Struthio camelus: one gene and its partner. The protein of the gene in region 1 interacts with the protein of each later gene in a pairwise test. Links are inferred from orthologs where the notes say so. Each region holds a gene or a part of one and is shown in the gene's direction. Other genes may lie near its edges.

Region 1 (3,907 bases):
CAAGTCCTGCCCCTGCCGTGGTGGCCCACAGGGAAGGCAGCACAAAGGACTGGTGAGAGGACAAAACCCAGCTCTGCCCCAGCCCCAGGGCCTTGTGCATCTCCAGCATGATGCGTCTCTCTTCCCTTCCTGCAGTTCTCTCATCCTGCATCCCCTCTTTTTTCTCTTTGGCTCCCCTTTCCAAGGGAGAACCAAGGGCAGCCTGAGCCAGGGCCTCGGGGGCAGCGGGCAGCGGTGGCCGGCCGCAGGGGTGTGCAGATGCTGGGGTCTGGCCAGGGCTGCTGCTCCCTTGGGGTTTCCCAGGTGGCAGAGAGAGGACACAGCCCTCACCGGGGATTTCAGCATGGCGGGAGCCAGATGAGCTCCTGGCACTGCCGCTGCTGGCAGTTGGCTTGCAGCAGCATGACAAAGTGGGCCACGAGCAGCAGAGGGAGCTGGCTCAGGAGCACTGTCACAGCAGGGCTGGGTGCTGCAGGCACCACCGGGCTGGCTCCAGGGGTGCTCGAGGATGCTGGCAGCACCAGCAACGCTGCAGCTCCTCCGCAGCATGGAGCACTGCGACACGGGGAGGGGGGGGAAGCGCCCTGCTGTGTGCAGCAACCCCAAGGACCATCGCCTGGAGGTGCCCTGCGCTGCCCCGATGACAACAGGGACAGCGTGGAGCGTGCATGGTGCCCAGGCACCCAGCTGCATCCCTGCGCCCTGCATACTGCGCACTGCGCCCGAGGCCGCAGGCACGGTGCGCCGTGCAGCATGCAACACGCACCATGCAGCGCGCAGCGCATGCCGCCGCGCAACGGATGACGCCACGCACTGCGCAATAGGCGCCAATGCACCCTGCAACATGCGGCGCCACGCATGCGCAATACGCACCGCCAACCACGTCCAACCCACCTCCGGCCCCCTTAAGGCCTAGGCCCCGCCCTGTCGCCCTGAGGGAGGAGTGACGGCGGCACTGCCCAATGGAAAAGGAGCTCGGCGCTCGGAGCGGCCAATAGGCGGCGAGAGGGGCGAGCGGGCGGCCAGGCGACGGCGCGCGCGGCGGAGTCCCGGGACGCGCGGTGAGTCGGGGGCGGTGCGCGCTGCCCCGGCGCATGCGCGCGGCGGAGCCCCGAGGGGGAGGGGGGGCTGCAGGCGGCCCGCGAGCCCTCCCCGTTGCACCCTGCACCCCGAGCCCTTCCCCTGCTGCACCTCGCACCCCCGAGCTCTTCCCCTCTTGCACCTCCCTGTCCCCCCTGCATTCCCCCGAGCCCTTCCCCTATTGCACCCTCCCTGTGCACCCCGCAGTCCCCGAGCCCTTCCCCATTGCACCCTCTCCATGCACCCTGCAGTCCCCCAGCCCTTCCCCTAGTGCACCCTCCCTCTCCCCCCTTGCACCCTGCAGTCCTGCAAACCCTTCCCCTCTCTCGCCCTGCAGACCCCCAAAGCCCTCCCCTACTGCACCCTGCAGCCCAGCAAGCCCTCTCCCGCTGCGCCTCACTCTGCACCCTGTGCCCTAGCAAACCCCTCTCCTCTTCCACCCTGCAGTGCAGCGAGCCCTTTCCCCCTTGCACCCTGCAGCCTAGCACACCCCTTAGCACCCTGCAGTCCAGCACACCCTTCCCCTTTTGTACCCTGCAGTCTAGCAAACCCTTCCCCTACTGCATCCTGCAACCCAGCACGCCCCCCCACACCCCACATTCCCCCAAACCCTTCTCCCCAGGCACCCCACGCTCTGGCCAGCCCTTCCCCTATTGCACCCTGCAGTCCAGCCAACCCTGGCCCCCACAAGCTGGCGATTCCTTCCCTAGTTACAGCCCTCCGTGCACCCCACCGCCTGGCGAGCCCTTCCATTCCTACACCCCCCCAGGCATCCCCCAGTCTAGCCAAACCTTTCCGCCCTATATTTTCCAGTCTAGCAAACCCTATCCCCCCTACGTCCCCCAGCCTAGCAAACCCCTTCCTCCCTACATCTTCCAGTCGAGCAAACCTTTCTCTTATTACAGCTTCCCATGTATCCTGCAGTCGAGCCAGCCCTTCCCCTATCACGCCCCTCCATGCATCCCAAAGTCTAGTGAACTCTTTCCTTATAGCCCTCTATATGGCCTTCAGTCTAGCGAGCCCTTCCCCTACTGCCCGCCCCCCTGCATCCCCCAGTCCAGCAAGCCTTTCCTGTATCGTGCCCCTCCGTGCATCCCAAAGCCTGCTGACCCCTTCCCGTACTACTTCCCTCCGTACGGCCTGCAGTCCAGCCAGCCCTTCCCCTACTGCGCTCCCCTGGGCATCCCGCAGTCGAGCCAGCCCTTCCCGTATTGCACCCCTCCATGCATCGCGAAGGCTGGCGAGCTCTTCCCCTACTACCTCACTCCCTCCACCTTGCAGTCCAGCACACCCTTCCCGTATTTCAGGCCAGTGTGCATCCCCCAATCTAGCAAGCCCTTTCCCTGTAGCTCCCTGCAGCCTGGCGACCCCGTCCCGTATTGCACCTCGCCGAGGGACCCCTTCCCTTACTGCACCCTGCAGCCCAGCGAGGTGCCGCTCCGGGGCTCCCCTTGGTCTCCGTGCGCCCCCCGGGCCACCGCCGTCGCACCCCGCCTGCATGCCCTGCGGGTGCACTCGCCACCCCTGACCCTGGCGGCCCCGTGAGCCAGGCCAGGGGGCTCCCGGCAGCGTCGCCGGGCCGGAGCGCCATGGGGGAGGCGCCGGCGGCGGAGCTGGAGGCCGTGCTGAGCGGCGGAGGCTGGGACGTGGCCGAGAGGTACGACTGCTGCCCGCAGCCCGCCGGCCCCGCGCGGCTGCGCAGGAACGCCTGCTACGTCGTCCTGGCGGTGCTCTTCAACGAGCGGGTGAGAGCCCTGCGGCGGGAGCGGCGCCAGCCCCGCGCCCGGGGAAACTGAGGCAGCGCGAGGGGGGCGTGCGTCCTGCTCCCTCCCTCCCTCCCTCCACAGGACGAGGTGCTGCTGATGCAGGAGGCCAAGCCCGAGTGCCGGGGCAAGTGGTACCTGCCCGCCGGCAGGATGGAGCCCGGCGAGAGCATCGCGGCGGCCGTGCGGCGGGAGGTGCGGGAGGAGACGGGGCTGGAGTGCGAGCCGCTCACCCTGCTGGTGCTGGAGGAGCGAGGGCCGGCCTGGATCCGCTTCGTCTTCCTCGCGCGCCCCACCGGTATGTCCTTTTGGGGTGCGTGTGCTCGGCCCTAGCAAGCAGCAGGCTCATGCTCGCGCGTGGCGTGTCCCCTGCCAGCACCATGATGGCATATTGGTGTCACCTGCCAGTGTTGTGACAGGGTATTAGCATCCCCGCCAGTGCTGTGACGGGGTATCGGTGCCCCCTGCCAGCCCCGCGATGGGGTATCGCTGCCTCTCTCCCTGCAGGTGGGACCCTGAAGACGCTGCAGGACGCTGACGCCGAGTCCCTGCAGGCCACGTGGTGGGCCGGGGAGCCGTCCGCTCTGCCCCTGCGAGCCCCCGACATCCTGCCCTTGCTGGAGCTCGCCGCCCGCTACCGCCGCAGCCCCTCGCATCCCGCCACCCTGCCCCAGGAGCTGCCCTGCGCCCTCATCTGCTTGCGGCTCCTCGTGGCCTTCGCCAGCGACACTGGGGACCTGTGGGTGCTGCTGAGCACGGCCGGGACCCCCCACCTGCCCGTGACGGCCTGCGGCACGGCTGCCTCCGAGCCGCGCGGCGGGCTGCGCGCGCCGGTGCTCCGGCTGCTGCGGGACTGCCTGCCGCCGGCCGCGCCGAGTCCCGCGCTCCTGGGGCTGCTGGGGCTGCAGCACCGGGCTGCCGGCGCGGACGGCGTTTGCTTCAACGCCCTGCTGAGCGTGGCGGCCGGCCGCCCCGGCGCCGGCCCCCCCGAGCTGCGCAGCCCCGCTTTCCGCTGGTGGCGAGTGGAGGAGGAGGGCCTGAAGGGCAGGATCGCGCAGCGGCTT
Region 2 (3,907 bases), on another chromosome or scaffold:
TTACTCTTGCTCAAAATTCGGTTTCAAATCAAGGACAGACCGGAGGATAGCTGCTTGCATATCAGGATCCTTTGCTTACAGTTGTGATGAGAAGGATTCAAATACAGTAAGGTGACATGCATTCCCAAACAGGAATTTTATAGCAGAAAATATTTAAATGATGTTCATTGCATCCCAGATACATCTGGGACAGATCTAAAATGTGTTATAACTTGTGATTGGTTAGCTTAGAAATGACTGCAGAGGTGAGAGCATTATTATACATAAACCAAAAACAGAGCAGTGCAAAACTTTGCCTTGAGAAGTTGACAGTTTAATTTGAGGATTTAATTAATCATCCTTAATAGAAACATCACTCGGTCAATGATGGTATGACGGATTTTGCAGCTGACATTCAGGTGTCATGCCTATTTCTTAACATTTGGTCCCTTCTGCTTTTTGCAGCCTTTGTGGAGACTAATTCGTTACAGATATTTTTCCAATTCAAACTAACAAGGAAGTCATTTATCGGGTAGTGAAAATGAAAGAAACGTATTGGCCCCTCCACATGGGTTCATCACCATATAGGACAGCTACTCTGCTTGCCGACAGTAGGATCCACTGGTTTGGAGAGCTGCAAACCTAGATGGCTGAGGCAGGCCTGAATGTTGCCCTGTTCAGCAGGCCCCATCTTAAGCGCGCAGTGACAACCTTTTAGGGCAGAAGGGTTCTTGGGGCCCTCCAAGCAAGGCCGCACCCCACCGCCCCCCTCTCCTGCGGGCGTAGCCCGCCCATGCGCAGTGACGCGCCCCTTTGCCCTAGCGGCCGGCCGAGTTGGCGCAGGCGTGCAGCGACGCCCGCCGGGGCTCCGGAAGGGCGGGCTGCGCAGGCGTTCAGACGGAGGGCCGTCCCGGCCCTGGAGGGCCGTTCGCTCGCGCATGCGCGCTGCCCCGCCTCTGGGGCCGACTCTCCTGAGGAGGCGGGGAGAGGACGATGGAGGCGCGCAGGGTCCGCCGGCTCCGCTCACTGCACGGGAGCAGACGCTGCCGCCGCCACCACCACCACCGTCGGGGTTGGCGCGCCGGCCTCTGAAGGCGCAGGGGCGGGAGGCTTCGCCCGGCCCTGAAGCAGCCCGTGGCGCGGTGAGTCGGGGGCCGCCTGGGCCCTGAGGCAGAGGTGGGGGGCGGCTCCTGCGAGGGGAGTCCGGAGCGGCCTCCTGCGGGGGCTGCGCAGCATCCCGCGGCGCTGGGGCCGGGTGCGGAGCGGCCGTGCCGGGGCCGGCCGGGTGCTCGTGGCCCGAGCGCCAGCGCGGGGGCGGGCGGGGAGCCGCGGCGGCGCCTGCCTCCCGGACTGCTGCCGCCGCTCGCGGGAGCTGGCCTGGTGCGGCTTCTTTGCCCGCGCCGGAGGGCAGATCGTATCCGGCGGCTCTCGGGAACCTGAGAGAGCTGTTGGTGAGCCTGCGGGCTGTCTTCCTTTGGGACAAACGGACTCGCGGGTAACTTCTTGCAAACCCGGGAGAACAGTTCAACCGGAGTAAGCTGTAGACGCGCCCTAGTAACGTGAGCGATAAGGGGCAGTGAGGTAGGAGGATAGTTTCTCGAAAGGATAATGGGTAGAACAACTTAATTTGGCACGTGATCTGCTGACTACACATCAAATATGCAGCCCAGTTCATTTTTTGTTTCTTTGACATCTTCGTTCCAGACTAACACGGATAGGGATATATCTAGGAGTCTGAGTTTTTGGTTATTAATATCTGTTCCCTGGGGTTATAGTATGTTAAACATAGGTGCCTGTTGTGTTGATATTTCTGTAGCGGAAGGGTTAACACAGGGATTTGTTTTCCCTGGGCATTTAACACGTGATAGGCATGCTATCTGTTTTGTTTTTTAGTAGAAATAGCACTTCAGTATTTTGTAAGTATGTAATCAAAAAAGATGCCACAGAAATTCAGCTGGTGTCAAACAGCTAGACTTCAATGTGGTGTTTTTTGTTGTTTGTTTGGTTTTTTTTTTTTTTTGCTTCAGACACACTGCAACACAAAGTTCTAAACTACAACAAAGTCTTGTCTGCCTGATACAGTTGTTGCTGCTTTTTTGGTGAGAGAAGCTTTAGGGCCTTGTGGATGGAGTTATATGCATGTGTGCTCTATTGGAGTACTTTCTTGAGTAAAGTATAGTTTAAAAAAAAAATTGTTAGCAGAATGAAGTGAATACCATATAGAACAAATGAACAGGAGTCTGTGGCAATAGAGCAACTGGTACAGTTTCTGCATGTAACATTGTCCTCTTCTGCTCTAATACATTGTTGATAAGTTGCAAAATGAAGAGTTTTGAAAATTTTCTTAATTTTGAAGAAATTAGTGGAATAGCGGCAATCTTAAAGGCATGTTAAATGCAGTGTGTGTATTTGGTCAGGATGGACTCTGCAGTAATCCTCTAATCATAGTGAATTGGGAACATGCATTTGACAGAGAGGAAGCTTTGTTACAAAATAACTGCTTAAAAGCCTGCTCATCAAAAATGATTTAAACTCCTTAAATGCTCTTACTTGCAGCATTATGCTCCTTGTGTAACTGCTTCCATTGGAAGATCATATTTCTTTTTATCATTCAGTGTGATCAGAGGAGAAAAAGATTATCAAAGGTAGACCTGACAATATAAATTCATAATCATGGTCTAAACGCGATAGTAGAACTTCTGGGATGTTATGTTGTTTCCTTCCGTATAGGGATGATTTGAAGCCTCTGTGAAACATTGATTCATAGGAGTGTTCATTTATAATGATTAAGAAGCAGAAGATGTGATACTACAATAAAAAGGTGGATACGTATGAGAGAGGTGACTCGACTTGCTACTTTGGGACACTATCGTGGAAGTTTAATATGAAAGCGTTAGTCTTTCTCAACTCTTCTTCATTCTGTAACGCTAAACTTTTAAATCCTGTTGTTGTTAACTTTTGGTCATGACTTAGACAGGAGCAGCCTCTTCACTTGTTTTTTTGACGTGTGTCTAAAGTTTTTGGGTCCATTCCTGGATGTTGTGTTGATAAGGTTTTTGTTTTGTTTGGTTGGTTTTTTTCTTTTTCCAAATACCTGGTTTCTAAGTTGGATAATAAGACACAGTGAGCTGCAGTGGTTGTTTTTATCTGCCCCTTCCCCCACCTTTTCCAGTATATATATTTTTTTCTTATTCTGATTATGCATGAGGGGATGGCCTCTTCAGCTGGTGAAGAATTATCTCCACCTTTTTTTTTTTTTTTTGATAATTTTACAGAATGGAATGTATTAACTCATAGGCATTAACTTTGACTTGCTATAAGTATACTAGTTTTGGCTAGTGTTAGCTAAGAACATAGTAGTCCAGTAAAGACTTACAGACAGATCTGTTAATTCCTTAAAAATCAGAAAGATGGGTGATGAAGAACACAGAAGTCTAGGTGTATTAAGATACTGGAGAGGTTTGTGTGGGCCCTATAAGATGGACACATCAAACACAATGTTCTACTTGTCTTGATGATTTCCGGTTATAAAGAATAATCTTTGGATATACAGGCATAAATTAAGGCACTAGTTTTTTTAGGTATGTTGTTGATAGGCTTATGTGTTTTGATGGTACATGCAATTCAGGTGTGAGTTAGGTACAAATGGAAGGTGAATGAGTATCTAATTTTTTAACTTCCTTTATGTCTGTCCTTTAAAAATCTGTTGGATAAAATCCTCTTATTTAATTTTCAGAACTTAGAATTTTGGTTCTTTTTGTATTTTACCAGGAAAACTATTAATTAAAAATCCAGTTTGCATGTGAGGAAAAAAAAATTAAATGCTTGTTCAAGTCTAGGATCTCTAAAATAAAAGCAGTGACTTAATTTAGAAGATGAATTAACAAACAAACAATATAAGACCTTCTACAGTTGCACACGGATGCTG

Evidence for each region.
Region 2: the proteins of NUDT18 (region 1) and NADK interact in a two-hybrid assay, tested with the Homo sapiens proteins (2 studies listed by BioGRID and IntAct). The two-hybrid records come from large-scale screens. The link is inferred for Struthio camelus from reciprocal best matches to the Homo sapiens genes NUDT18 and NADK.

The regions. Positions count from the first base shown.
Region 1 is NC_090968.1:5,558,174-5,562,080, forward strand, and holds the start of NUDT18 (8-oxo-dGDP phosphatase NUDT18), read left to right. Parts: upstream 1-945; 5' UTR 946-1,061; intron 1,062-2,429; 5' UTR 2,430-2,669; coding exon 2,670-2,825; intron 2,826-2,927; coding exon 2,928-3,141; intron 3,142-3,350; coding exon 3,351-3,907. UniProt on the Homo sapiens protein: Mediates the hydrolysis of oxidized nucleoside diphosphate derivatives. Hydrolyzes 8-oxo-7,8-dihydroguanine (8-oxo-Gua)-containing deoxyribo- and ribonucleoside diphosphates to the monophosphates. Hydrolyzes 8-oxo-dGDP and 8-oxo-GDP with the same efficiencies.
Region 2 is NC_090962.1:3,140,879-3,144,785, forward strand, and holds the start of NADK (NAD kinase), read left to right. Parts: upstream 1-879; 5' UTR 880-1,121; intron 1,122-3,750; exon of another isoform or gene 3,751-3,907.